Linked DNA regions of Alligator mississippiensis. The protein of the gene in region 2 interacts with the protein of the main gene of each other region in a biochemical or structural test. Links are inferred from orthologs where the notes say so. Each region holds a gene or a part of one and is shown on either strand. Other genes may lie near its edges. The genes, in order: NMU and NMUR1.

Evidence for each region.
Region 1: the proteins of NMUR1 (region 2) and NMU form a complex in vitro, tested with the Homo sapiens proteins (2 studies listed by BioGRID). The link is inferred for Alligator mississippiensis from reciprocal best matches to the Homo sapiens genes NMUR1 and NMU.

What each region holds. Positions count from the first base shown.
Region 1 is NC_081825.1:60,617,853-60,621,756, forward strand, and holds the start of NMU (neuromedin-U), read right to left. Parts: upstream 2,866-3,904; 5' UTR 2,783-2,865; coding exon 2,653-2,782; intron 1-2,652.
Region 2 is NC_081830.1:85,073,273-85,077,176, reverse strand, and holds the start of NMUR1 (neuromedin-U receptor 1), read right to left. Parts: upstream 2,879-3,904; 5' UTR 2,724-2,878; intron 1,573-2,723; 5' UTR 1,524-1,572; intron 431-1,523; 5' UTR 422-430; coding exon 1-421. UniProt on the Homo sapiens protein: Receptor for the neuromedin-U and neuromedin-S neuropeptides.

The DNA.
Region 1 (3,904 bases), on a different chromosome or scaffold from region 2:
CCGGGGCCGGGGCCGGAGCCGGAGCCAGGGCAGGGAGGCGGCAGCTGTTTGTAGCCTCCCAGTCGGAGCCGACCCCGGCTCTGGGTACCTGCTGATAGCCACAGAACTCGGGCTGCTCCCATGGAAGTCCTGCTGCAAGCATCCCGGGCTCCGTGGCTATCAGCAACTACCCAGAACCTGAGCCAGCTGCAAACATCTGCTGCCACTGCACCCCGGCCCCGGCTGCCTCCCAGCCCCAGACCTGAACCTGGGCTCCGGGGAGGCAGCACACACTGGCAATGCTCCCTGCTGTGCTGCTCTTGCCGCTTCTGCAGAGCAGCGTTGGAACCCAGTGCGGCAGGGCACAGCAGGGGGCTCAGAAAGCTGCCTGCTCCGAGCTCCCCACTGCCCTGCCACACTTCCCCTGCAGGTGGGGGCAGCAGGAAGGGGCGCAACCCTGCGCTGCTGCCCACGCTGCTCCTGTGCACACAGGAGGTGAGGGCAGCACAACAGGGAGCATTGCCGGTATGTGCTGCCTCCGCAGAGCCAGGGGCCAGGTCTGGGGCTGGGAGGCAGCTGAGGCCAGGGCCAGGGTGGAGAGGCAGCAGATGTTTGCAGCTGGCCTAGGCTCTGGGTAACTGCTGATAGCCACAGAGCCCAGGCTGGGGGGTAAGGGGCAGCAAGGGTGGGGGGCACAGGGCAGCAGGGCTGGGAGGCAAGGGCTTTGGGTGGGGGCAAGGGGCACAAGCAGAGCATCCTGCCATGTACCCCCTGTCCTCATTTTGTTTTTCTGGCTTGCTGGCACGTCGGCACCTTCCAAGGTAGGCATTGTAGGTTTTTCAGCACTCCAGCCAAAAAACGTTGCCTACCCCTGCTCTAGATCATTTTAAGAAGTTACTGGCAACCCTAGACCCGTCTGTCAACAATATGGGCCTGATCCTCCGACTCCCTGAAGATCCACAATTCTCAGCAGTTTAAATAAATGGGAATTGAGAGCATCAGACCCATGCAGAATTGTATTCCTAATCCTTTAAAAGGGCAAGTAAATATCGCTTCATTAAAAGTGGATCCCTCTGATAGGAAATAGCAGCATCAAACATTAACTTCTGGGGCACTGTGGATATTCCAGACATTCAGATTTGGTTCTAGTATCTATGGGTAACAGTGTAAATTCAAAGATTTTTTTTGGTCTTTTTAAAAGCATGCTCTTTAGTGAGGTAAAATATTTAGACCCTGCTACTTTCTGATGGCGCTTAAATATCACAGTCACAGGTAAAAGAGCAACTCCCATACAAGCAAGACAAACAAAGCAAAAACAGTCAATATGTAATGCATTATTGTATGAGGTTACTCTGCAAGGAGTTAATAACTACGCTTGCAATGATGTTGTAAAGCTCCTGATAGAATAGGAAATGCTATCTACCTATCTGTCTATAACATAAGTTCTGTTTTTACTAAAATGCCATTTATTTAGTTACAACATCATTTTACTTAAGTCTGGAGAAGAGAAGACTGAGAGGGGATTTAACAACAGCCTTCAACTACCTGAAGGGTGACTACAGAGAGGATGGAGCTTGACTGTTCTGGTGGCAGATGACAGAACAAGGAGCAATGGTCTCAAGTTGCAGCAAGAGAAGTTTAGGTTAGATATTAGGAAAAACACTCACTGGGAGGGTAGTAAAGCACTGGAACAGTCTGGGCAGAGAGGTGGTGGAATCTCGGAGTTGTTAAAACCCAGCTAGACACAGCCTTGGTTGGGATGAGATAGTTGGGGATGGTCCTGCTTGGGGGAGGAGGGGTGTTGGTCTACATCAGTGTTTCTCGATCTGTGGGTCGTGACCCAAAAGTGGGTCACAAGAATATATGAAAGGGTCAGGAAGAAACATTTAAAATGGACCAAGAAACTTTAAAAATGGATTCTCCGTTACAGGGAAAAAATGTGGGAAACCCTGGCTTTCCCCTTGGAGGCTGGCAGAGTTGCAGCCTGTGAGGGGCTGTTTGGGGCCCCCCAGGCCCCACACACTGGGGCCTGGGGATAGGAGCAGCGGGTCAGGAGTAAGGGGAGCTGGGTTGGGGCCAGCCAGTGATGTTCGTAAGTGGATCCTGGTACAAAACAGGTTGAGAACCCCCAGTCTACACGACCTCCCAAGGTGCCTTCCAACCTGCATTTTCTGTGATTCTATTACTAGCCTTTATAAAGGAAATGGAGATTCATAAGAGTTGATTACATTAATTCTCCAATTCAGTGTTGGACCCATTGCAAATAAAAGCCAGATTGCAAAACAGTTGATTTTTTTTGGACCTGGAAAAGGAAAACAACTCAAGTTTAAACGCAACAATCCCCCCCCCCCCCCCGACTGCTAGAAGAGTAATATAGAAACCAGTACTTCACTCCTCGCTTGCTGCTATACCCGGGTTTCTGCTCAAAAGAAAACAAGAAGTTCCCCCTCTCATTTCTTTGCTGCCAGCAAGAACTTCACAGACCGTCTCAGGCATCATTTCTTTCGCCAGCCAGAATGAAAAAGGCGTGAGACTGTGCCGAAGGGAAGCCAAGGCACCGGCGGGTATTAAGCGGGAGCTGCCCCCGCGCCCCGAGCGCCAGCGGAGGCGGCCGGCCCCGACCGCAGCGCTGCCCCGGCCCCGGCCCCGCTGCCCCCGGCCCTCGCCGCTCACCTCGGCAGGCGCCCGTGCAGGAGGCGAGGAGCAGCAGCAGCAGCAGCGCGGCGGCGCCCGGCACGTCCCCGGGGCTGCGCTGCGGGCCGGCGGGCGGCTGCTGCTGCGGGCAGAGGCTGGTGCGGAGCATGGTCCGGCTCGGCTGGCCCGTGCGCTCCCGGAGCTGAGAGGAGCCTGCAGCGCGGGCCGGGCGCGCTCCCTCCCAAACTTTTAAATCTCCGGGACACGTGGCGGCCTCCCCCGGACTCAGGGCCGCGTCACCCCGCTCCCCCGCCCGCCACAGCCCCGGGTCTGCGCGTGCCAGCCCTGACACAGCTGGGAGGGAGGGAGGGGTGCGTGTGTGTGTGTGACAGAGGAGCCCTAACACAACAGGCTGTGTGTGTGTGTGTGTGTGTGTGTGTACCAGCCCTGAAAAAGTGGAGGGGAGAACCAGCCCTGAAACAACTGGAGAGGTGAGAGAGAGGGAGCCCTAAAACAAGAGGGAGAGAGAGAGAGAGTGTGTGTGCATGTGCATGTGCATGTGCATGTGAAGGAGCCCTGAAACAACAGGGATTGGTTTCAGACTGACTGTAAAACGATTTCTTCTGGAGCTGTCCATCCTTGGCATCTGCGATAAAGTGTCCTTTATCCCAAGGATGTCAAAGATACAGCCCGCAGGCCAGAGCCAGCCCGCAGAGTCTCATCATCATCCAGTACCCACTGCTGCCAGTTGGTCTCAGAGTTGACCTGCTGGCAGCATGTGGGGCACACCGGATGGCCCCTGCAGCACACGCAATGCCCACTCCAGTTTATGCCCCAGAGCATGAAGCAGAACTGCACCACACACAGCACCTTCTGTGGCCAGTCCAAGATCTAGAGCACAAGGCTGGTCTGTAGGGCTGATCTGACCCATAGGTCCGATCCAGCCCATGGACCAGCCCCAGGGTATTCTTCCAACCAGTGAGGCCTGATGTGCTTGAAACCCCTGCCTTAACCCTTTCTTACAAAGACTGGGGAAAACAAGGATGTCAGAGTTAAGATCCTTAGTCCCCAGTTCAGGAATGCTTTATGGGTAGGCTTTTAACCAGAGGCCCACGAGTAATCCAACTGTGGTAAAAATACAGCATAATCTATACACCCTGCTTTTGTAATTGCTTATGCACTCCGCATGTTTTTACTCTCGCTTCCACACTTATCACTAAGACAAGTAGACTAACAATTGATTTACGAGTAGAACTAAAATTCTGCAGACGGAGCCAGGAACGGATGCAAT
Region 2 (3,904 bases):
ACACGGCCTCGAACAGCAGCGTCTTGAAGTAGCAGCCGCCCGCGCCCAGCAGGAAGGGGTAGTTGCTCCACATGTCGTACAGCTCCAGCGGCATGCCTAGCAGCAGCACCAGCAGGTCTGACACGGCCAGGCTGAACAGGTAGTAGTTGGTGGGCGTCCGCATGAACTTGTGCCGCAGGATCACTAGGCAGGTCAGCGTGTTGCCCACGGCGCCCACCACGAAGATCAGCAGGTAGGTGGTGCAGACGGGCACGAAGAAGCTGGACCGCCGCGGCCCCAGGTACTTGTCCCGCAGCTCGTCCTCCGTGAGGGTCATGTCCTCCGGGTCCACGTGGCTGTGATTGCAGAGCACCTCGGCCTCCAGCCGGGCCAGGTAGTCGCGGAGGGGTGCCAGGCTGGTGCAGTTGGTGTAGGGATACATGGCCTCTGGCTGCAACGAGACTTACTGGCATGGGGGAGATGCCGCGAGCAGCCCAGGTGCTCCCAGCCCTTCTCCATGCAAGATGCCTGCCCTGGGCCCACCCAGCTGCTGGAGCCAGGGGGGCTTCTAGCCCTGTCCCCCGGGACAGCTCTGAGTGACTGAATCTCTATCCGAGTCCCTGCTTCTCAGCTGTAGCCACAGCTGCAACCCCAGACCTCTGTCAGCTTCAACCCCTGGGCTCAGCTCAGCGATGGAGCCGCCTCGGGGCTGCCAAATGTACCCGATACAACCCACCCACACTCAGTACCACGCCGGGGGTCCGGCTCTGCCCATGGAGGTGGCAAGGGCACAGACAGCGGCCAGGAAGAGCTAATGCTCTTAATGTAGACCCAGATTTGGCAGCCCCCTGCTTCAGTGCCTGGGAGCCCTTGGAGAGCTCAGCCCCCCACCCCACCGCGTGGTCCCATGCAGGGTCTGGCCTCAGCCCTGTGGTGTGGCGAGGCTGGACTGTGTGGGGCTTTGCTCGGGGTGCTACTGGATGGGTCTGGCCCTCAGGGGCACGTCCATCCCTGCCCACGACAGGCTGCCCCTAGCACTGCACTGAGCCATGGGCAAGAGCAGCCCTGCTACTGCACCAACACTGCACCGGGCTTTTCTGGAGGTGCCCACCCGCTCCCCCAAACCTCCTGGTCTCTCTGGGCCAAGCCTGCAGGCCTCCAGCTCCTGCTCAGCCCTGTCTCTGCTTGGCTTGGCTTCCACCTGCTCCCTTCACGTGCCCTCTGGACCGGGGGGCCAGGGCCCTTCTTACCCCACAGCCCCTCTGGCACCAGCCACGGAGCACCCGCTTGGCACGTGGCCCCAGGGTCGGCCCTCACCCTTGCCACACCGCAGAGGGGAGAAGTCAGGGGGTGGTGGTATCGCATCTTGCCCAGAACCTGGATGAGCTTCCATAGCCGTCTGGGGAGTGGGAGCGCCCTGCCTCCAGCTGCCCCCCGGCTCCTTCCAGCTCAGCCCCCCGGCCAGGGGCTGGGGAGGGGGGTGGTGAATGGGACCAGCCAGGTCCTGGCAGGAGTTTCCCACCTCCCCACAACCGGTGCCTTACCTGTGCGAGGGGCACTGCGGCACCGGCGGCAGCACGGCCGGGAGAGGCTCTGGAATGACAGAGCAGAGCACGGCTCGGAGAGGGTCGGGGTGGGTGATGGGGACACCCTCTCCAGCTGGGGCCGTGACAGCTTGGTGACCCATGGGGGCATGGTCCCCCCTCCCCTCCACCCCTCCAGAAAAGCCACGGGCGCTTCGGGGCCCCAGCACTGCATTAGCATCCCACACTGAACTGGAGCTGGCCGGGGAAGTTTCAACGAGAGCTGGTGCCTTGCCATGGCCACAAGCAGGGCTGGGGGGGGGGGGGGCAGGAGCCTGCACCCTGCCCTGCTGCATCCCGCCAGCCACCCGGCACCCCCTGCGCCCACATCTCCGGGGCCGGCTCTGGCAATCAGGCTGGTTCCCGGACACCCAGCCGGGCACCTGCTCACATGCACGCGCTCACAGCCAGAGCCCCCCTCTCCGCTCTGCCTGCGTGACCTCCAGGGACCAGACCCCCCATGCCTGCCCGGCTGCCTGCAGGGAGAGCAGCCCCCTCGCTTCCTAACTCCGGCTCCTGTGACTGCTCCGGTGCTCCCCACAGCAGCCTGCCCCCTCCCCTGGCTCCGCGCTCCAGCACCCGGCTCCCCCCAGCTCTGGGGGCTGGCACCCCACTCCCCCCAGCTTTGGAGCTCTGGCATCCTGCATCCCCCAGGCTCTGGGACTCCAGCACCGCGCTCCCCGCAGCCCCAGCACCCTGCTTCCTCCAGCTCTGGGACTCCAGCTCCCTGCTTCCCCAGGGTCAGGGCTCCAGCACCGATCTCTCCCAGCCCTGGGTCTCCAGCACCACGATCCCCTCAGCTCTGGGGCTTGGGCACCCCACTCCCCTGGTCCTGGGTCTCCAGCACCACGATCCCCTTGGCTCTTGGGCACCCCACTCCCCCAGTCTGGGGCTCCGTCACAACAAACCCTTCAGCTCTGGGGCTTGGGCACCCTGCTCCCCTGGTCCTCGGTCTCCAGCACCATGATCCCCTTGGCTCTGGGGCTCTGGGGCTTGGGCACCCCGCTCCCCCGCTCTGGGGTTCTGGCACCCTGCTCCTCCTGGCCGTGGGGCTCCGGTGTCCCCATCACTAGGGCATCAGGTGCTCGGGGCTGAAGAGCTCCAAGCCTTGCTTGTCTGGAGGGTCCTGCCTGGGTGGGCAGGGTGTGGAGAGGGGCTCACCGGGCTACAGGGTCCAGGCAGAGAGGGCTGGGGCTGGCCCGAGCATCTTCGCAGCTCCAGGCGGAGTTTGAGGTGGCAGCTGAAGTCCTAACTCCATCGGTGCTGGTGCCCGCTGCGTGTGGGCGAGCTGCAGCGGGCTGGGGGGAAAGAGCATCACTGAGGTGGGGAGGGGACAGGGGCGGGGGCTGGCTGAGCCGCTGGCTTTTCCAGCACCACCAGGGGGCGGTGCATCCCCACGGCTCCCCCCCAGCCTCAGCTGCAGCTGGGCAGCGGTGCCCCTCGCTCTGGACCCGCAGCCCCAGGCCTTGCCCCGGCTGCTGGGGGCTGTGACCAGCAGGTCCTCTCCTCCCCCTGGTCTCCTTGCCCCTTTGGGAGACCCTTGCCCCATCCCGTGTCTAGCTGGGGCTTCCAGAAAGCCCCCGTGCCTGCCCATTTTGAGAGGGGAAACTGAGGCACAGGGGGACGTGCTCACCTGAGCCTATGAAAGCTGAATGGGACTCAGGAGTCCTGATTCTGCCCAGCCCCTGGGGGCTAAATACCAGTCCCCACTGGCCAGGGAGGGAACCCAGGAGTCCAGGTAACCAGGCCGGCTAATCAAGGAGGTCACCCATGAAGGTCTTCAGCACTGCCGTGCCAGCCTCCCCGTGCCCGGGTGCTGAGGCCACGTCACCGCCTGGGCCAGGCACCCCCCCCCTACCAAATAGACCCCAGCGATTTGCTCCGGCCTCCAAGGCAAATATTTGCTCGGCGGTTTATGAGAGCTGAAACCCCGGAGCTGAGCAGGACCGAGGAGATAGGCAATTGTTTGGCCTTAATAAAAGCCATGATTAGCCCAGCTCAGCAAATGGGGGGAGGAGGGGTGCAAAACACCCCACGCCAGCTCAGCACCGGCGCACCAGGCAGTGGGATTCCCTCGCAGCTTGCAGGACCTGGTGCCACCATGCACGGAGCCTGGCATGGGCTGGGATCCCTGGGGCCATGCTGTGCTGCTGCTCAGAGGGGCCCGACGTCCTCCAGGCAGCGGGTGCAGCCCCAATGCCAGCAGCAGGGACCCAGGCACGTCCTGCTGCAGCCGGCTGGGACAGGGCAGGGCAGAGGTCAGTGCTCAGAAGTGCAAATCTGGCTCTTGAAGCCAGTGCCCCTGTGCTGGGGCTCTGTGCCAGGGGCAAGGGAGCTGGACC